Linked DNA regions of Mus musculus. The protein of the gene in region 3 interacts with the protein of the main gene of each other region in a pairwise test. Links are inferred from orthologs where the notes say so. Each region holds a gene or a part of one and is shown on either strand. Other genes may lie near its edges.

Region 1 (4,251 bases), on a different chromosome or scaffold from region 3:
TGGAAGATCTGGGAACCCATGCAAGTTCAAGCCAGTCTACCCAAGGAGACCTTATTTTATGCGTATGGGCGTTTTCCCTGCATGCATATGTGCGCTATGTGTGCACCAGATGCCTAGAGAGGTCAGAAGAAGGCGCTGTATCTGGGGGGGTGGGGGTGGGAAGAAGAAGATAGAAATGAAGGAATGGAAAAAGAAAAAACCCCTGATCAACCTGGTGTAGACCAGCATTCCTGTCAGAACAGGATGAAACCTGAAGGCTGCAGCTGACTTAATTGAGGTCATAGAAGACCTGGAGAAAGAGTCAATAGTATAGGGGACGAGGGACAAAGAGGGAAACGTGATGGAGACAGAAGCATAGCAGATAGCTAAAGAGGGTGGTTTTGTTTTTTTGGTTTTTTTTTTTCTTCAGTTTTTCGAGACACGGTTTCTCTGTGTAGCCTTGGCTGTCCTGGAACTCACTACATAGATCAGTCAGTCTGGCCTTGAACTCAGAGACCCACCTGAAGAGGATTTCTTCAAGGATGACAACTCCCATAAGAATTTATGTACTTGGGACAATGATGGGGAAGAGGGGGTGTGATGATGGGGGGGCTGGGCAAGGGGAGGCTGTGCACCTCTCTACTGACTCAAACATTCAGGAGAGCTCAGCTTTTCCTTCTGCCCACCCTTGGCTAAGACCGAGGCTAAAGCAGGGGCTCTGAGAACACTCCGTGGCAGCCCCTTCCATCCCAACCGCATTGGAAGAACTGTGTACTCTGGACTGGGGTTAAATGGGAAACAATCCATTCCAATAGTGGTTCTGGGGGCTCTGGGTGGAAGTCCCATGGCTGTGGACTCTACTTACACCGTCAGACAACAAGTGGCGCTAAGCCCGCCCCCGTTGGCTCTTACTATGTATGTATTTACTTGTTTGTTATATCCTGCAAGCCTTTGGTTGGGTTTGGTGTTGAGGACTGAAACAAGGGCCTCCAGAGAGCTTAGCTACTGAGCTCCACCACTAAGCTACATCCCGAACACCAGGAAGCCTAACTTGAAACTACCCTATCTCGCTTCTCCAGTTCCTAGAGAATCTGAAATCTGATGATGCTGACAATATTGACCTCTAACAGTATCCCTAACAGAAAAGTGTTACCATGCCATTTTCCTCTACAAGAGAATACGGTGAGAGATCAATCAACTCTGGGGTTTCAAACGGATGCTTTCCTCCACTCCGCCAGTGGGAGGCGCAAGGGGCTTGGGCGAGAGCCTGAAGCGGGGCACAGGCTGGGCAGCGACCCGACTGGCGAGGGTAAGTGCCCGATCTCACCTTCCCTCTCCTGGAGACTCAGGGTTTTTTGACTGGGTGGGGCCTCCCACCGACCCCGGGATGTCCACTCGTTTGGCCTGGGGAGGGCGTGGCCTAGGGCTCCGCCCCCTTCCGCGGGCTCAAAAGGCGCGGCGTCCGCGGAGGCGGGGTCAGAGCGCAGCGGCGGATCCCATCGCTGCTCCCGGAGGCTGCCAGGCAGCGGCCCAGGCGGGCACTCAGGTACCGGCGTCCGCGAGGGGGTTCCTGGCCTGCACCCTACGGGGTCCTATGGCCCGCTGAGGCGCTGGGGAGGGCGTGGGTGGTCGTGAAGAGTGCCAGATTCCCTCGGCTGGCTTCGGCCGCAGCCTCCGCCCCCGCCTTCCTGCGGCGAAGTGGGGCTGATTGGCGCCTGCGCCACTGTGTGCGGTGGGGACGCGGCCAAGCGCGGGGCTGGGGCGGGAGACGAAGGGAAACAGAGTCATGTTGGCAAGGGAGCATCGTGCGTGGGTGGCACCACTTTCTCTGGCTTCCAGAAAGGATCCCCTCTCTGGCCGTGCGTAAGGGACACGGCCCCCGTCGCTCTCTACAGGACCAGTACCCCGTTTTTCTTTTCCCCTTTCAGAGACCAGGGGTCCCGCCCTGACCACCAGCAGCCTCGACCTGTCCCAAAATGGCTAGGACCCGCTCCAGCGTCCTCCTTCTCCACCCCTCCCCCTCATATCCCGAGCCCCTAACGTGCTCCCTCCTCGGGCTCTCTACAGTGTCAGCTTACACGCCTTATATAGTCCGAGCAGGCTCCGGCGGCGGCCTGCCTGCCGGGACCCGGGGAAGGAGGGGGAGCTGGCCCCTGACTCACCCCGCCACCCTCCTGAGATTCCAGGTTAGCTTGGGCAAAGCAGTGCCAATTAGCCCCACAGCCAACCCCTGGAAGAGAAAAGCACCTGAGCTCGGAGAGGCCTCTCCAGGCCCTCCCGGTGGCAGGGGGCAGGGTGGGGAACCACCTTGTCTGTTGTCTGTGAGAGGTCGGCCTGCCAGGAGCCCAGCCAAGCCAGCTGAGATACCTGCCTCCCAGTGCCTGTGTGTGTTGAGCGTCCGCCCGTGCCTTCTTGGTGCCTGGCCAACGCTAGTGCCCAGATCTGGACCTGCCTGCCAATTTGCATTGCAGACACTTTCTCTTCTTCCTCACAGGAGCAGGCACGATGGATTCCTTCAAGGTGGTGCTGGAAGGGCCAGCCCCTTGGGGCTTCCGTCTGCAAGGGGGCAAGGACTTCAATGTGCCCCTCTCTATCTCTCGGGTGAGCCTAGGTGGGGGAACAAACTCCCCAAGGGTTCTTGGGTGCTCAGGTTTCCAGAGGATCATGGGAGGAAACAGCAGGAGCAAGCCAGGACCAATAAGGCAGGAGTATCCAGGTCCAAATGGACACTTAACTACCAGGACTCCCAACTAGGTGGAGAGTAGAGAGGCACTCCCAACTTCCCTACTTTGACATGGTATTTGATGCTCTCCCACCAAGCCATCTGTGAGTGACAAGGGGGAGCCTGTTCCTTCGGTATTGGAGGCTGATGTCTCCAAGAAGTATCTTACTTAGCTAGGAGAGCAGCCTGTGGAGCCAGGTCCCCAGCAGGATGTAACTTTAATTCCAGTTATTCAAGGAATAGCAGTTGTCATCCTGTTTCCCCAAGTGACAGAGCTTGGTGGGCTGGAGGAGCCCATTCAGTAAGTCCACTGCAGAGCAAGGGTTTGAACTGAGGCACAAAAACGGCTTGTACTCTCTGTACGGTCAAGGCCAACGGGGAACTCTTCCCGCCCTGTGTGAGGACTGAGTCCCAGTCAGCTGGCTCTAGTCAGGCTGTGTGGCCTTTGACCCCAAGCCTAGGTGTAGTGAGGCTGGCCTGTAGAATTCCTGTTCCCATTCCTCAGTCCACCCTGGTGAGGAGGGTGGAGCTGGGAACTGACTCCTCCCTGAGGCAGGGGGATTACCTTATAAGCCCAAGAATGCGGGCCCCAGTTGGGATGGCCAGCAGTGGCTAGTCAACAGAGCCCAAGAGGGCTGGCCTAAGTCTAGGCCCCTTACCTGGCCCTCAGTCATTGGTGTCAGTAGGACTCAAAGCAAACTTTGTGCCCAGCCTTCCAGCTTGGTATCTCTGACTGGCCTAGGGGGTCAAAAAGGGGGCAGGGACTTCCTTCCCTGATATCCGCCTGCCTAGAGAGGCCCACCCAGCCACTGTGTAGGCAGGCAGCTGCTGGCAGGAAGCCCAGGGCAAGCCCAGCCCAAAGGGGCCTGAGAATTTCCAGGCACTGCCCAGCCTGAGTAGGGTATCAAGGCTGGTTCTCTCTGTGGGAGCCAGACATGGTGGACAGGGCAGGCAGGCATGCATGCTGTGTTCTTCCCAGAATCCTTCTCTGGAATTGCTTTGGAATCTGCTCCAACCAGCAGGATGACTAAGGGCTATCTAGACCCTTCCCCCACGCGTACATCCTACGGGTTTCTTCCTCCCCTCTGGGAAAGTGCTGGCCAGTGTAGTGTAGGTCTTAAGTTTTCTTCATTGGTAAGGAAGGCCCTGCAGATGTTGCCTTTTGGGGGCACTCTGCTGGCCCCTGCTGGCCCCTGGCCTCCTTTGTCAGCAGCTTTAACCTGTGGGTGGGGCCACCCGCTGAGTCCTGCCCTGGAGTGAGTTAGGCCCTGATGGGTGGGGTGGTCTTTTCTAAATTGGGCCAGCCCGCTATCCCTCCCCTGACCCCAGAGTGGAGGGAGGAAGGAGGGGCTAGGGCTGGCTGTGGGCCCAGGCCTGGAAGATGAGGTAATGTCTGGGATTTGGGGGTTGGGCTGCTCAGTGGAGCTCCCAGGCTGACTCACCCACACCCATAACACTGTCCAGTCCCCTGGCTTTTCCCCTCCTTAATCTCACTAGCCTCTCTTTCCCTGTGGTGCTCTGACCACCAGCTTAGCCCTCACATTTTGAGT
Region 2 (3,959 bases), on a different chromosome or scaffold from region 3:
AAGGAATGGGGTCAGGGTATAAGTAGATGCAGGGACCCTAGCCCCCAAGCCATACAACTTACGGTAGCCAGCGTTATTCACCACACAATCCAGGTGACCAAATCGAGAGAGGGTCTCAGAAACCAGAGTCTGAGGAGAGAAGAAAGAGCAGGTGATGAGCTGAGAGGTGACAGTAGTCTTGGAAAAGCCAGTAGGCCCAAGGCAAGGATGGGCTCAGCTGAGGAAGACAAGGTGGAGCGAGGGGGAGAGGGGAGGATGCAGGAAGCTGAGGACCCAGACTAAAAGAACTAAGGGACATAGTGCAGTTGCCGTTTGTCACAGCTAGTGTTTCTATCACTGTGATAAACACCATGGCCAAAAGTGACCTGGAGAGGAGAGGATTTATGTCTGCCTACAGCTCCCAGGTCACACTCTGTCACTGAGGGAAGCCAGTGACAGAGGGCTCAAGACAGAAACTCAAGGCAAGGACTGAAGCAGAGGCTCACTGGCTTGCTCCCTTGGCTCGTTCAGCCCCTTTCCTTATACTCTCCAGGCCTCCAGGACCACCTGCCCAGCGATGTCACAACCCCCCAGGGAGCTAGGGAAACTCCCACACCAACCACTAATTAAGAAAATGAGCGCCTTTAATCTCAGCACTTGGGAGGCAGAGGCAGGCAGATTTCTGAGTTTGAGGCCAGCCTGGTCTACAAAGTGAGTTCCAGGACAGCCAGGGCTATACAGAGAAACCCTGTCTCGAAAAAAAAGAAAAAAAAAGAAAAAGAAATTGAGCAGGGCAGTGGTGGCACATGCCTTTAATCCCAGCACTTGGGAGGCAGAGGCAGGCGGATTTCTGAGTTCAAGGCCAGCCTGATCTACAGAATGAGTTCCAGGACAGCCAGGGCTACACAGAGAAACCCTATCTTGGGAAAAAAGAAAAAAGAAAATGAACAGCAGGTTTGCCCACATGCCAATTTGGTGGGGCCATTTTCTAGTGAGATTTCCTCTTCCCAAATGACTGTAGCTTGGGTAGAGTTGATATAACACTTATCAGCACACCACCTTAGAAAACTTTGGAGAGGGGTGTGTGTATAAGGCAGAGCCTCAGAAGGAGGGTCTACAGACCCTGAGGGTGGTGGGGAGCTGAGATACACAGACAGAGAGACAGAGGCCCAGACTGGGGCTAAACCTGGAGGCACATAACAGATTCTGAGTGCAGGGAAGTCAGAAATTTGATACAGGAAGCAAGTGTTTTGTTCATTCCTAAAGATGGGAGGGAGAGCAGGGCAGAGGGACTGAGCTGTCCTGGGCATGGGTAGCTGGAAAGAGGGACTGGAGACCAGGTGTGGGACAGAAAACACTCACCTGCAAATCTCTTTCCTGTGTCACGTCACCGGGGATAAAAACAGTGCCCGAGAGTTCCTGCTCCAGAGCCCGGCCCCCAGCCTCTGCAGGAGAAAGATTTTGGGTCTGAGGAAGGAGAGCTGAGGCTTGGACACCAGAGTCTGAGGGTAGAGGGCTAGGGAAGAGCCCTGGATGGGAGGGAAGAAAGCCAGGACTTGAATTCCTGGGTCCGAGGAAGCAGAGCTGGGTTCAAGGGAGGAGAGCTAGGCGCGGATCCCTTTCGATGGAGGAGGCAAGGGAGAATCGAACACTGAATCACTCACCATCCTTGTCACAGAAAACCACTTGAGCCCCACTGTCCACTGCCAAAAGAAGAGAACAAGGTTACAAGCCCTGCAGACTTTCCTCACCATCTCTGGTGCCCTCTGCTGGCCACCACCCAGAGCACCTGCCACTCCAGCGGCTCTTGTGACTGGCTTCAGTCCTCTTACAAGAGCAGAATCTTGCAACAAATAACCTTTTTCATTAAGCTGCTGTTGGCCCCCATCCTGGATTCTAGAAAAATCCCAAACCGATAGGCAATAATACTCTCAAAGCTATCATTTGCAGCTAGGAACCGATCCAGGGAAGATTTTTTTTTTTATTTTTATATTTTTGAGACAGAGTTGCTCTGTATGGTCCTGGCTGTTCTGAGCTCACTCTGTAGATCAGGCTGGCCTAAAATTCAAGAGATTCGCCTGCCTCTGCCTCCCAAGTGCTGGGATTAAAGGTATATGCCACCACTGCCAGGCCAGTGGAAGAACTTTTTTTTTTTTTTAAGATTTATTTATTTATTATATGTAAGTACACTGTAGCTGTCTTCAGACACTCCAGAAATGCCAGATCTCATTACAGATGGTTGTGAGCCATCATGTGGTTGCCGGGAATTGAACTCAGGACCTTCAGAAGAGCAGTCAGTGCTCTTAACCGCTGAGCCATCTCTCCAGCCCAAGGAAGAGTTTTTAATGACCAACCTATCAGCAAAGACCCAACAATCCAAATGGACTGAGGGACTGGAGAGATGGCTCAGCAGTTAAGAGCACTGGCTGCTATTCCAAAGGACCCAGGTTCATTTCCCAGTGCCCATATGGCAGCTCACAACTGTTTGTAACTCCAGTTCCAAGGGATCTAATACTCTCAGCCAGATTCAACAACAATGCAGAGGAAAATAAAAATAAACAAATCATTTAAGAACAAATAAATCATTACAGAAATGAACCTGAGTCTCCTCCTCCCACTCTGGGAACCTCTGTCAGTCATCCTTTCTCTCCTACAACAATTCAGACAGCAGGCGGGAAGACCCTTACTCACCGAAGGCTCTCACGATCGCAGCCCCGATGCCCCGGCTGCCTCCAGTCACCACCACCACCTTCCCAGAATATCGGGTTACTGCAGCCATCCCCAGCTGTATCCCACGCCCTCTGGACCTCTTCCCACCTCCACAGTCCAGAGAAGCAGTGGGGTGGAACCAGATATACAGGCTGGGTCACTGAAGGCTGACCTTGGGAGGGGGTGTTTCTAGGAAGGCACACCTGGGAGAACTGAGGACTCTCCTTCCTAGCCCTTCTTTTTCAGTCCCAGGGTACCCAAACTGACAGTCCTCCTTCAGACTCAGGGACCCTCACCCCAGCTCTGCCTCCTCAGACTGACTTCAGCCTTGCTCCCTTTGACTTGTTTTTTTTGTTTTGTTTTGGTTTGGTTTGGTTTGGTTTTTCGAGACAGGGTTTCTCTGTATAGCCCTGGCTGTCTTGGAACTCACTTTGTAGACCAGGCTGGCCTGGAACTCAGAAATCCGCCTGCCTTTGCCTCCCAAGGGCTGGGATTAAAGGCGTGCGCCACTACACCCGGCTTTTTTTCTTTTTTTTTTTTTTTTCCTTTGACTTGTAAGACCAGGGCTACTTCTTCTGGCTTGATTCAGGCTCCAGCCTCCTCCCTCAGACCCATATTGTTTGTTTGTTTGTTTGTTTTTCGAGACAGGGTTTCTCTGTATAGCCCTGGCTGTCCTGGAACTCACTCTGTAGATCAGGCTAGCCTCAAACTCAGAAATCCACCTGTCTCTGCCTCCCAAGTGCTGGGATAAAAGGCGTGTGCCACCACTGCAGATTGGGCCCTTACCCTTGTTTGTCAGAACACAATGTCACAACCACAGAGAGAATAAAAGCTATTTATTGACTAATAGTTCAAAGTTTTCATCCAATTTTGGACAGTGTTGGGAAAATCAATCTTTGACCATAGCGGCCCTGGCCCTCCTAGAATACATGCTGGAATGAACCTCTCCCCTGTGGTCCTGAATGGTCCCACACCTCAAAGTTGTGCTTCCAGCTTGTAGGGCTCAGTATAAAGATGGGAGTCAAAAGCTGGACTGCAGCAGAGTGACTCTGAAGGGCCATGCCCCCTCTTCCTGGGTCAGAGCTGGAGGGGCCTTCCCAGGGTCCCACCTGGCCTCCCATGGGGCCAGGCCTCTCCGGCTGCCTTGGCATGAGAACCCTGTGGTAGCAGAAGTAGCCTTGTGAGGAGCTGGGGACGAGGTGACCTGGGGCAGTTCTTCACTGGGAGGCTGTGGGCTTGGCTGGAGACAGTCTCCCCTGGTATCCAAATTT
Region 3 (4,013 bases):
ACATCCACCCTGGAGGAGCATGGAATTGTCAGCAGCATCGGCGCTATCAAAATCAGGGGTCATTAGGGTAACATGGTGGACAACAGAAATGAATCACAACCCATCTCACCAGCGAAGCTGTAACCTCCGGACCTTCTCAGGGCCGCCCCGGCACACACAGCACTCAAATTCATAGAATCTGCACATGGGCCAGGACAGAGGATGCACCTCATTCAGCCCTCTGACCCCGGCTGCAGAGGACTGCGGGAGAGCACAGGTGGACTCCCGAGCATGCGTGCATGTCCTGTCTCACCTGTCTCCGTAGAGGAGGGGCTTGCTCAGACACTGGGTGCAGGCCTCATGGAACCACTGGAGGCAGCTCCGGCACTGCAGCATTTTCAGGTTCCACCTGGAGGGGAGACAGCGCTTGTGGCCCTCAGACAGCCTTCTTGAAACCACAGGGCCCCCTCGCCCCCTGTTCACCCATTTTCCCGGGCTCTGCCACCACAACAACCCCCATCCCATAGCTTGACAACACCCTCTCCACTCACTCTCCAGGGCCTCCACAGTAGCAGTAGCTCTGCTGTCTGTTGCTCAAATGTCCAGCATCCCAGTCCAGCCCTTTTAATCCGTATGGCAGGGAGAGCTTCATGCCCAGCATGGCCCGGGCATAGGGACCTTTCTTCAGTGCGCCTCCCCTCTGCAGAGGGACAGACAGATGGAGACCTCAGAGAGGCAGGAACGGAGGAGAGACCACAGGAGCTTCCCACACAGGGGCAGAGAGGCACCTTTACCTTAGTGGCGATTGCAAAGACACACTGGCGGCATACCCAGGATGCGCCCTCTCCTTCTCCAGGGGCCGGGGCCCTGGGAACGTGACAGTCCTGGTGATAAGCTGAATAAGGACAATGTTGAGGGTAGACCACTGTGTGCATCTAAGTCCTGCTGTGTGTGTTATCCTGACACTGCAGGTGAGTCAACAAGCTTCTCACAGCTGAGGGCCTAGCCCAAGGAAGCACGGTTAAGAAAGGTAATGTAAGCCCCTCAGCTTTGCATGGCCTGGGTCACCTGATCTATGGCTCCCTCGCCCTGTTCTGAGAGATGTGGTGACAGGGTGAAGACTGGCCAGGACAGGAGACATAACTCATGCTATAAGGCAGGGCTAGTGGCAACCCAGAAGACCCAGGGCAGACTGCACCACCTAAGTATCCTGGCCTCTCACCATGGCGACACTTCTCACAGCTGACCAGCCGGTTCCCAGGTACCACGGTCTCAGAGCGACACACACAACAGAGCAGCTCCTCCCCAGGGAGGGCAGCTGTGAGGGAACAAAGTGTCAGGAGGCCTACCAACAACCAGTGTCCCCACCCACTCCAGCTTCTGCTGTCACAGGCTTCAGTCTGAAGGTCTCACCTGGGCTGATATCCTTCCATAGAACCAGAAACTGGGAATCGTCCTCAAACTGGACCAGACACACCTCTCGAGCACTGTCCACCTGGAATGGGTGCCCAGTGATGCTAAAATGGGAATGAGAACTGACTGGAGACTGGGAAGGCAGTGAGATCAGAGGTGGGTCTTACCTTTTTGATGGTACCCAAGTACAGCAGCCCATCAGTCCATCTGGCCAGCACATCTTGGCCTTCCCAAAGCCGAGGTCTGGGGCCTGAGGTGGGAGCAGGGGAAGCTGGATCCCAGAGAGAGGGGGCACCCAAACGGCTCAGCCGGGGGAGCTGCGCCATTGCATCCTGGGGGGGCCTATTCCAAGATAGGATGGTTAGAGTTATGGGTGCTGAGAAAGTTTCCCTGAGCTCGTTGTTTTCTCTTATGGATAAAGAAACCCTGTTCCTGGTGGAGCAGCTCCAACGCCCCAGTCTTCTAATCCTGAGCCCTATAAAGGTGGGTGGCTCTGGTCAGCTTCTCGACTCTACTCTTTTCCATCTCCCCTGCCTCGTTTTGTAGTTTCCCAGCTCCTAGGGACTCAGGTGAAATGATCTTTGCGGAATCAAGGTTACCGCTTAGCTTCACCTTGCCCAGCTGTTTACAGGGATCCTAAATGGGGCAATCTGTTGCCCAGAGATGTTTTGGGAGCTTTTCTGAAGACGTTTCCCGAGTAGAAACAGCTGCCTCCCCAGGCCTGTGTGTCTTATTTAGAACCACCACCCTGGTGCCAGGTGATGTTAGGTCACCCTCAAATTTGGGGCTCTCTGACCCGGGATTAGATAACTTCCCTGAGTGCCCCAAGAGGGGGGCGTGTCCCTGTCCAAGTCTCTACTCCCCTACACTGTCAGTCCAAGGAGGGACTTGAGTCGCCCCAGCACAGACCCTAAGCTGAGACCAGGAGGCTCTCCAACCCTTCTTCCTCACCGACCCCCAGCTCCCTGCCCCCCTCTCCAGGCCTCCCGCCTCCTCCTTACCGGTGACAGCCGGGGCAGCTGGAAGCCAGGTAGGGTCAGACTCAAGAGACCTGGATGAGTCTCCGGTGCGGGAAGACTGAGTGTGAGCGCCGGGGGGCGTGCAGGCGGAGGCCAGGGGGTCCCCGGGCCCAGCCCCTCCGTCCTGGCGGCTCTGGGGCGTATGACGCAGCAGCCAAAGCAGCAGCAGCGGCAGGAGGAGTCGACAGAAGGAGGGAGGAGAGTGGAGGGTGGGGAGCACCAGGGGGAGGAGACGACAGAGGGACGGGCAGGCAGCACCTCCCTCACCTCCAGCGGGCCCGGAGGGCGCTGCGCTGTTGGGGGCGCGGCCGGTCGCGGAGGTCGAGGAAATCCCTGCAGCCCCTTTTTCGGATGGGAGGCTTGCTCTGGGTCAGCAGGAAATAACCTTCTTGGCAGCTAGCCTGCAGGTCAGGGCCGGGCCCCGCCCCATGCCACATCCGTTAGCTGCCCCGCCCCCGTGGCCACTCCAAGCTCCGCCTCCGCACGCGGCACCGCCCTCCCCATTCACGCTGCCTGTCGCCCCGCCCTTCTGCGCACGCGTAACCCCGCCTGTGCGCCGCACCTGGGCACACGGCCACTCCTCCGGCCGCGAGAGCACTGGTGTAGGTTTGCTCCTCCTGGGAGGGAAAGGACAAGGGGCTATTTGGAACTAGTACTGAGTTAGTGACGTGCCCACACCAGCCAATAGGCACTAGGCGGCACGGAACCATGGTTCGAACCGGTGGGCAGGGAAAGAAAGAGATTGTGGAGTGCACTGGCAGTCACACCAGACAAGAGCATTCCTGTTCTGGGCTGGGGCTGGGGCCTGGCAGTCCTAAGAAATTGTTAAGAGGGCCCAGTGCCGAAGGGTAGAGAAGAGGCATCAGGACGGCAAAGTGTGCCCCACCAAGTGAAAGCCCATAGCCTCACTCTGCAAACACATCACAATGGACATTTCTACGTGCTTACAGTATTTATTTACAATACCTTCCTTTGGCAGCTAAAACCGTTAAGTTAATAAAACCGTTTAGAGCTGTAACAAGGGCCGGGCTGGGAAGATGGCTGGGCGGTTAAGAGCACTGACTGATTTTGCAGAGGACCCACATGTATTCCATAATCCCAGTTCTTGAAGGACCTGAAGCCCTGTTCTGAACTCACTGGAGCAGGAGACATGCACATGGTGCATGCATATACACTCAGGCAAAACAACTGCACACAATTTTTTAAAATCTAAGATTAAGAAAAGGATTAACATACAAAAGATTATTCTTTATTACATAATAAATACCCAGTAATATCATGTCTCAACTCCCACCCACCCCCACCGAATAAATACACACTAAAACAGAGACGCATGCGCACTGGCTTGCAAGGGCTCTGGATCCGACTTCACTTCTTATTAGCCTGAGCAGTACCAATGACACACTGGTTCACCTGTGGACAGATAAACAGGGTCACACAAGGTCAAGGGTTACAGATGAGAAGCCTTCCCACTCTGCCCCGTGCTGGGCCCACATCTGAATCTCTGAAGTCTCTGTTATGGAAGCAGGTCCAGCCTGCCCCCTGGAGGGATGGTGATGCTATGTCCACTAAGCCTGGAAGAGACCGGACTGAAAAGACGAA
Region 4 (3,510 bases), on a different chromosome or scaffold from region 3:
AGTAAGTCTAGATGGAACACTGGGATATGTGCCCCTTGGTGCCTAGCCAAAACAAAGCCTCAATAGTCCTCTGGGAGTGCATTAATTATAAATCATGATGTAGTGTTCTTGGACAATTATAGTAGATTAAATGTTGACCTCAGAGTACACATGTACTCCACAAATTCAACTTCATGCTACCTTACTGTCAGCAGCCACACCAATAGGAATACTGATAATAGACTTCAACATTAATAACAGCCAAGAGAAGCTAAGTCTGTTTTTTATTCTATAATAATGGTGGTGCACGCCTTTAATCCCAGCACTTGGGAGGCAGAGGCAGGCGGATTTCTGAGTTTGAGGCCAGCCTAGTCTACAGAGTGAGTTCCAGGACAGCCAGGGCAATATAGAGAAACCCTGTCTCGAAAAAACCAAAATAATAATAATAATAATAACAATAATAATGGCCTATCATGAGAGTATACTAAAAGTACATATTGCAGTTCTGTTATTTTTTCAATTAAAATAAAATACATTTATATCTTCCTCCCTCTCAAATTCTACAATTTAAATAACAGTCTTGCTAATTAAATCAGAGCACTTATATACTCATTTTAAGAATATTTTTAAGTTTAATAAAGAATATCAATCTTGACTCTTACCTTGTGTATTGAGGTAATAATGTTTCCACAATGGTCTTAATTTGTGTTTTCCACCCACATCCCAAATGGTGAATTTTAGATTTTTGTATTCCACAGTTTCCACATTAAAACCTGTTATTTTGTCAAAACATTATTTTATATTGTATTTAAGTTTAACAATGAATGACACACTAATCATAAGAAAATCTCTATTCATAGTTTTGAGTTAGCAGTTGTCTCCTTATAGCAATAACTACTGAACCCAAATAAACTCTACTGCTAGTCTCTGGGGATGTCTGCCTTTAATAGCTGCTACCTGTCTACAATTTCCCCAATCCTTTCAAACACCTGCCAGCTCTGTACTGCTGCCCTCCTCACTCCTAACACTGTCAGATTGTCTAAGCCCCCATTCCCTCTGACTGTCTCAGCAACATTCAGTCCTTTTTGCTATGTCACCATGCATCTTTCAGCCTCACAACCATGATCTCATCTCCCCCTCTGAAACAATAATGTCTTAGCGCCAGAAAAGAGTCACCTGAATAGCAATAACTTCATCAGAGAACCCAGCTAGCTATAAGTCAGTTGCCTATCAATATTCAAACTTACCAATTGTTGGAATAGGTTGCATAAATTCATCTTGTTTTAACTTGAACAAAATGGTAGTTTTTCCAGCACCATCTAATCCTAATGTGACTACTCGGATTTCCATTTTGGGTCCAATATGAACTCTATTGTCCTGTGGATTTGAAAAATTGGAAGTCAGAATATAACAATATTTATGCTTTTTCTTTTTGTTTTTAACCCATGTGTAAACCCAGGCTGATCTCAAACTTCCCATACAGCCCACACTTGCCTCAAACTCATGACGTTAGGTTACAGTCATAGGCCACTATGCTAGAATTTCATTTTTAGTTATAAAGTACCTTTATTATTTTCATGCCTCATATTCCTTCTTCAGCTCACTGTAATCAGTGAGCTCTAAATCGAACAGTCTCATCAAAATAAATTCTCCTCATGAACAAAAGTGTTCTTAAAAAATTATAACTGGGGGCTGGTGAGATGGCTCAACGGGTAAAAGCACCGACTGTTCTTCCGAAGGTCATGAGTTCAAATCCCAGCAACCATATGGTGGCTCACAACCACCTGTAACAAGATCTGATGCCCTCTTCTGGTGTGTCTGAAGACAGCCACAGTGTACTTACATATAATAAATAAATAAATCTTAAAAAAAAATAAAAATAAAAATAAAAAAATAAAAAAAAATAAAAAATTATAACTGTCTTATATAAATTGAAATACATATACCCACTTTTGTTTCTTTTTGTTTTTTGGTTTTTTTCGAGACAGGGTTTCTCTGTGTAGTCCTGGCTGTCCTGGAACTCACTCTGTAGACCAGGCTGGCATCGAACTCAGAAATCCGCCTGCCTCTGCCTCCCGAGTGCTGGAATTAAAGGCGTGCACCACCACTGCCCAGCCATATACCCACTTTTATTTGTTCAAATCCACAACTGAATCTTCTCTTAATAACATTTTTTATACTGTGCTAATAAATTACAATAGGGTGAACAGTTGTCTGTAAGAAATTGCTATGTCCCTCGAACACATGGGCACAGGAGAAAAGTTTCTGAACAGAACACCAATGGCTTATGCTGTAAGATCAACAATAGACAAATGGGACTTCATAAAATTGCTAAGCTTCTGTAAGGCAAAGGACACTGTCAACAGGACAAAATGGCAACCAGCAGATTGGGAAAAGATCTTTACCAAGCCTACATCGCTAATATCCAAAATATGCAAAGAACTCAAGAAGTTAGACTCCAGAGAACCAAATAACCCTATTAAAAAATGGGGTACAGGGGGCTGGCGAGATGGCTCAGTGGTTAAGAGCGCCGACTGCTCTTCCAAAGGTCCTGAGTTCAAATCCCAGCAACCACATGGTGGCTCATAACCAACCGTAACAAAATCTGATGCCCTCTCTGGAGTGTCTGAAGACAGCTACAGTGTACTTACATATAATAAATAAATCTTTTTTTTTTTAAATGGGGTACAAAGCTAAACAAAGAATTCTCAAAGAAACTGAGGAATACTGAATGGCTGAGAAGCACCTAAACAAATGTTCAACATCCTTAGTCATCAGGGAAATTTTAATCAAAACAACCCTGAGATTCCACTTCACACCAGTCAGAATTGCTAAGATCAAAAACTCAGGTGACAGCAGATGCTGGTGAGGATGTGGAGAAAGAAGAACATTCCTACACTGTTGGTGGGATTGCAAGCTTGTACAACCACCCTGGAAATCAGTCTGGAGTTTCCTTAGAAAACTGGACATAGTATTACCTGAGGATTCAGCTAAACCACTTCTGGGCATATACCCAATAGATTCTCCAACATATAACAAGGACACATGCTCCACTATGTTCATAGCAGCCTTATTTATAATAGCCAGAAGCTGAAAACAACACAGATGTCCCTCAACAGAGGAAAGGATGAAGAAAATGTACATTTAAACAATGGAGTACTACTCAGCTATTAAAAACAGTGAGTTCATGAAATTCTTATGCAAATGGATGGAACTAGAAAATACTTCCTGAGTCAGGTAATCCAATCACAAAAGAACACACATGGTGTATATTCACTGATAAGTGGATATTAGCCCAAAAGCTTCAAATACCCAAGAGATAATTCACAGACCACATGAAGCTCAAGAAGAAGGAAGACCAAAGTGTGGGTGCTTCAGTCCTTCTTAGAAAGGGGAACAAAATACTCATGGGAGCAAATATGTAGACAAAGTGTAGAGCAGACACTGAAGAAAAGGCCATCTAGAGACTGTGCACCTGGGGATCCATCCCATATGCAATCACCAAACCCAGACACTATTGCCAATGCTAAG
Region 5 (4,217 bases), on a different chromosome or scaffold from region 3:
TTGAGACTTTTGCTCCCTGCATACGTAGGGTCTGCATCACTATCCAACACCAAAGTAGTTCTAGAAAACAGGTTTTTAGCCTTAAGAGTCTCAAGGGGGGAGGGGGGGCTGGCGAGATGGCTCAGTGGTTGAGAGCGCCCACTGCTCTTCCAAAGGTCCCGAGTTCAAATCCCAGCAACCACATGGTGGCTCATAACCATCCGTAACGAAATCTGATGCCCTCTTCTGGAGTATCTGAGAACAGCTACAGTGTACTTATTTATAATAAATAAATAATCTTAAAAATAATTTTAAAAAAGTCTCAAAGGGGAAATTACAACAGGAGAGAAAGACAATAAAACTTATAGGAAAATGGGAAGGAAAAAGGAGTGTGGCTAAAGAATCAATTAGTTGATGATTCAAGGTCCTTGCCACCAAGACTGTGAGAGTCTGAGTTCCATCCTAGAATCCACACAGTGGAAGGACAAAAATCAATTCCTGAACGCTGCCCCTTGACCTCCACAAATGCCATGGGGCGCAGGTGTGCACACACACACACACACACACACACATAAATGGAAGGGGAAAATTCCAACACAAGTAACTATATTTTATCTGAAGACTATCAACAAAGAAATAAAATTCCTTTATCTAGAGAAGAAAGCTAAAATGGCAATGATCCACGTTAGAACCCAAGCCCATGTCACCTTCAAACATAGTCGTCCCACTTTCTCAGGTATTTTCTGCCAATCGCCAAAACAAGGCTAAATTTTTGTTGACAGTTAAAAAACATTTTAATTTCTGAAACTTTTGGGACCTAAGAGGAATCCCATGCATGATCCAAGGCCTGTTATAAGGTTTCTTAAAAATTCTGTCAAGTACAACTTCAGGCGCCTTCAAAAACACTAAATATAGTTACTGTAAAGACAGCGATGATCCCTTTGAGAAGCCTGAACCCCACTCCCTGGTGTGCCTTTCTTTCCTGCGCACACCTCATTTTGCCTTAGACCCCATGGTTGTTGAAGACCTTTAAATAAACTCCAACTCTGCTTCACAGTAACTTATCCTGAATTCTTTCTCTGTGGCACAGTCAAAAATCCAGCTTTAGGCTGGGCTGTGGTGATTCACACCTTTGATCTCAGCGCTTGGGAGGCGGAGGCAGGCAGATCTCTGAGTTCCAGGCCAACCTGGGCTACATAGAGAAACCCTGTCTCAAAAAAATAAATAAATAATAAAAAAAATTCCAGCTTTCCCTAAGCTGTGATTCCTGAGAGGAAGAAAACTCCCAGCAGTGGGGGGCAGTGTTTCCCACCCATCTTCCCTAACAAAAGGATATTTCTGCCTGATGCATAGGTGCTTAGGAACATCAAAAAGTTATCGGTGCCATTTTTTACTATGTAGCCAAACATGGTCTTGAGCTCCTAATCCCCCTCTTGCTGAGTGCTGGGTGCTGGTATTTCAGTTGTGCACTAGTACTCTCGTCTTTCTTTTGTCTTTTTGTTGTTGTTGTTGGGGTTTTTTTTGTTGTTGTTGTTTTTTCAAGACAGGGTTTCTCTGTGTAGTCCTGGCTGTCCTGGAACTCACTCTGTAGACCAGGCTGGCCTCGAACTCAGAAATCCGCCTGCCTCTGCCTCCCGAGTGCTGGGATCAAAGGCGTGCGCCTCTTTGTCACTTTTTAGACATTCTCAGCTCAAGTTTCCAAAGACAGGAACCCTGGAAGAAAACCTTAAAACAAGTCTGTTGTAAGAGACAGCTGTCTGTGGACTTCTTGTCCAAGGTATCCCATCTCTTCCCAACAAGTCGTCAACCTTGAACCTCAGTTCCCAGCTGCCGGACTTCTTTAGATATCCCTCAACTGCCCCTTCTTCACGTGAATCCAGACATACCCAAGCATACAGTCAGTGTCCAAGTCTCCTACACCATCTGGATGCAAGGGCCCTACAGAGTTGACTCTAGAGTCTTTCCTGTCCTCCCATACCACTACTACTCAAACCAGAGGATGGGGGAGGTAGGGAGGTGTAAGGGGGGGGGTAATCTGCCCACCAAGCTGCAGGCTGTTCTCTTAAACTGTACAGCCGCCCTCCCACCTTTCAAGATCCTGCCTTTGTTATTAAGAAGGTAAGGTCTGGGAGGCATCTCACTCACCTCATACTATAAGCACCAGCACCCAGTTCCTGGCCAATGCCGGACAGGCTAGCATCAAAGTCCTGCACAAGCCCCGACTCGATCACTTCGTCGGCTAGCGGCAGCTTCAGAGCCCAGGCCATCCCGGCTCCTTCCTTGCCCCAACAGGCGCCGGCTCCTGTACAAAGGCGCGGAGCGTAACTCTACCCGGCAGACAGCACAGTGGAAGTCAGCTACAAACCCAGCTCCTCGCGCAGCGCCCCAAGCCTGACCTACGGGCTGCACCCTGGCTACTCCTCGGGAGCCCCGGTGACAGGAATCCCTCCCGTTCGGCTCTCGGGATCGTGAGGCACCAGGTCCCGCCGGAGCTCAGCCGGACTCGGGCTCTCTGAAGCCCACCGGTCGGTCGCTCGGCGTCCTCCGCTCAGCCTCAAAGCGGAGACGCGCAGGACACCGGGCGCTCCGAGCGTCCCCTCCGCCCCCCTAGGTGGAAAGCTCCTCCCTCCGGGCATCCGCACTTTCCCTCAGGCCTCGCTTCCGGTCAACCAGATAACTTCCGGTCACCGATTCTTCTCCCCGCCCCCCCACTCCGCTCTCAGCACAAACCCAGGGTTCCTCCGAGCCGTCCCCACACCCTCCTTAGCCACCACGACCGCCTGGAAGCGTGGACAGCGAAAGTTCGGCGCAGACTCGAAGCGCAAACCCGCCCCCAGCGCCAACCAATCAGGACGTCCGCTACGGCCATGGCGCAACGTCACCATCCATCTACCAATGAAGAAGAGACTGGTTCTGTCTTCGCAGCGGTGATAGGCTATCGACGCGAAGGCTTCCGCCCCCGGAGTAGTGGGCGGGCTCAGTGCTTAGGCGTGAACCCGGGTCGCAGGCTCTCGGTCCTGACAGTAGAGCAGAACTGCGGTTCTATCTTTCCGCTTCCCGCTCCCATTCCCGGAGGGACTTTCGTTCCCGTGTGTCCAGTCCTAAACTCTCCCCATTTGCCTTCCCTTATCTTCACCCTTCTCCCTAAGGCATTCGCGCAGGAAACAGGGAAAACTATTGGGGTTTTTGTTGATGTTCAGACGGGGTCTTTAGGTAACTTTAGCTGACCCAGAACTGAGAGATCCACACCCCCAGCCTGAGTGCTAGGATCAAAAGCGTGCACACTACACCTTGCTTGTTGTTTTGTTTCTGTTTGGTTGGTTCTTTGATGTTTTGTTTTTGTTTGTTTTAGGCAATGATGAATGAGTGTTGGGGAAAAATCTGCAGAGCAAAGTCAGAGCTGGCATCTTTATTTATAGTATGATAACTTAAGAGTATTCTCCAAGAGATTGAATTTACTAAACTGTAAATCAAGAACAACCATAGCCAGGCATAGTGGTTCATGCCTTTGATCCCAGCACTCCAGAGACAGAGGCAGGCAGATCTGATTTCCAGGTGAGCCAGGGCTAGATAATGAAGACCCTGGAGCAGGAGGTGAAATCATACCTCCTCCACCTTGCTCCTGAGGATTAATTACGGCCATTTTTAAAATTAAGCACGGGCAAAATACCTGTATGCTATGAACAGTATTGCAGAAGTCCTCAAGACAGGGTTGTAATCCCTTCCTAAAAGGGCATTGTGTGTTCCTAAAAACCTAGCACTCAGTAGGCTGAGGCAGAAGGATCTCCACAAGTTCAAGAACAGTCTAGACTACATAGCAATTTCCATAACAGCCAGGTCTACCTAGCATCTCTAGTCATTGTTTGCTCGTTTGTTGAGACAGGGTTCTTTTTGTCGCCTGGGCTGTCTTGGAACTCTGTATACCACTAGGGTCCTTAGGTCACCAGACTGGCCTTGAAGTCAAAAGATCTGCCTGCCTCTGCCTCCCATCTTAAAAAAAAAAAAATTCTAAAGGTAAATGTCACTTATTTTACCAAACAGAAAGGTAAGGCTAGAACTAAATTGTCATGATAAACATGCCTCTGCCGGCCAAAGACATCCCCTGTCTGTGGAAGTGTGCTTCGTTCTGTATGCCAACACAATATCCTTATAGTCTGCTTTGACTTAGATTTGTATATAACTACTTCTCCCACTGAGTTTCTACCTCAGGAGAGATAGGGAAATGACTTGGTATGGTG

Evidence for each region.
Region 1: the proteins of Phf1 (region 3) and Pdlim7 interact in binary tests that used the Homo sapiens proteins (3 or more experiments, as listed by UniProt). The two-hybrid records come from large-scale screens. The link is inferred for Mus musculus from reciprocal best matches to the Homo sapiens genes PHF1 and PDLIM7.
Region 2: the proteins of Phf1 (region 3) and Hsd17b14 interact in binary tests that used the Homo sapiens proteins (3 or more experiments, as listed by UniProt). The two-hybrid records come from large-scale screens. The link is inferred for Mus musculus from reciprocal best matches to the Homo sapiens genes PHF1 and HSD17B14.
Region 4: the proteins of Phf1 (region 3) and Trim23 interact in binary tests that used the Homo sapiens proteins (3 or more experiments, as listed by UniProt). The two-hybrid records come from large-scale screens. The link is inferred for Mus musculus from reciprocal best matches to the Homo sapiens genes PHF1 and TRIM23.
Region 5: the proteins of Phf1 (region 3) and Tfcp2 interact in binary tests that used the Homo sapiens proteins (3 or more experiments, as listed by UniProt). The two-hybrid records come from large-scale screens. The link is inferred for Mus musculus from reciprocal best matches to the Homo sapiens genes PHF1 and TFCP2.

What each region holds. Positions count from the first base shown.
Region 1 is NC_000079.6:55,510,641-55,514,891, reverse strand, and holds the start of Pdlim7 (PDZ and LIM domain protein 7), read left to right. Parts: upstream 1-1,445; 5' UTR 1,446-1,525; intron 1,526-2,473; 5' UTR 2,474-2,484; coding exon 2,485-2,580; intron 2,581-4,251. UniProt on the Homo sapiens protein: May function as a scaffold on which the coordinated assembly of proteins can occur. May play a role as an adapter that, via its PDZ domain, localizes LIM-binding proteins to actin filaments of both skeletal muscle and nonmuscle tissues.
Region 2 is NC_000073.6:45,553,778-45,557,736, reverse strand, and holds the start of Hsd17b14 (17-beta-hydroxysteroid dehydrogenase 14), read right to left. Parts: upstream 2,810-3,959; 5' UTR 2,759-2,809; coding exon 2,671-2,758; intron 1,683-2,670; coding exon 1,644-1,682; intron 1,425-1,643; coding exon 1,342-1,424; intron 130-1,341; coding exon 63-129; intron 1-62. Other genes in the region: Plekha4 (pleckstrin homology domain-containing family A member 4), read right to left, coding at 3,710-3,959. UniProt on the Homo sapiens protein: Catalyzes the NAD(+)-dependent oxidation of L-fucose, yielding L-fucono-1,5-lactone, which rapidly converts spontaneously to L-fucone-1,4-lactone. Can also act on D-arabinose and L-galactose, with lower catalytic efficiency. Does not use NADPH.
Region 3 is NC_000083.6:26,931,915-26,935,927, reverse strand, and holds the start of Phf1 (PHD finger protein 1), read right to left. Parts: upstream 2,802-4,013; 5' UTR 2,394-2,801; intron 1,735-2,393; 5' UTR 1,719-1,734; coding exon 1,560-1,718; intron 1,475-1,559; coding exon 1,393-1,474; intron 1,298-1,392; coding exon 1,202-1,297; intron 875-1,201; coding exon 774-874; intron 680-773; coding exon 531-679; intron 457-530; exon of another isoform or gene 389-456; coding exon 293-388; intron 179-292; coding exon 110-178; intron 10-109; coding exon 1-9. Other genes in the region: Kifc5b (kinesin family member C5B), read right to left, coding at 3,780-3,824. UniProt on the Homo sapiens protein: Polycomb group (PcG) that specifically binds histone H3 trimethylated at 'Lys-36' (H3K36me3) and recruits the PRC2 complex. Involved in DNA damage response and is recruited at double-strand breaks (DSBs).
Region 4 is NC_000079.6:104,195,836-104,199,345, reverse strand, and holds part of Trim23 (E3 ubiquitin-protein ligase TRIM23), read right to left. Parts: intron 1,357-3,510; coding exon 1,227-1,356; intron 753-1,226; coding exon 642-752; intron 1-641.
Region 5 is NC_000081.6:100,549,201-100,553,417, forward strand, and holds the start of Tfcp2 (alpha-globin transcription factor CP2), read right to left. Parts: upstream 2,809-4,217; 5' UTR 2,710-2,808; intron 2,683-2,709; exon of another isoform or gene 2,282-2,682; 5' UTR 2,247-2,281; coding exon 2,125-2,246; intron 1-2,124.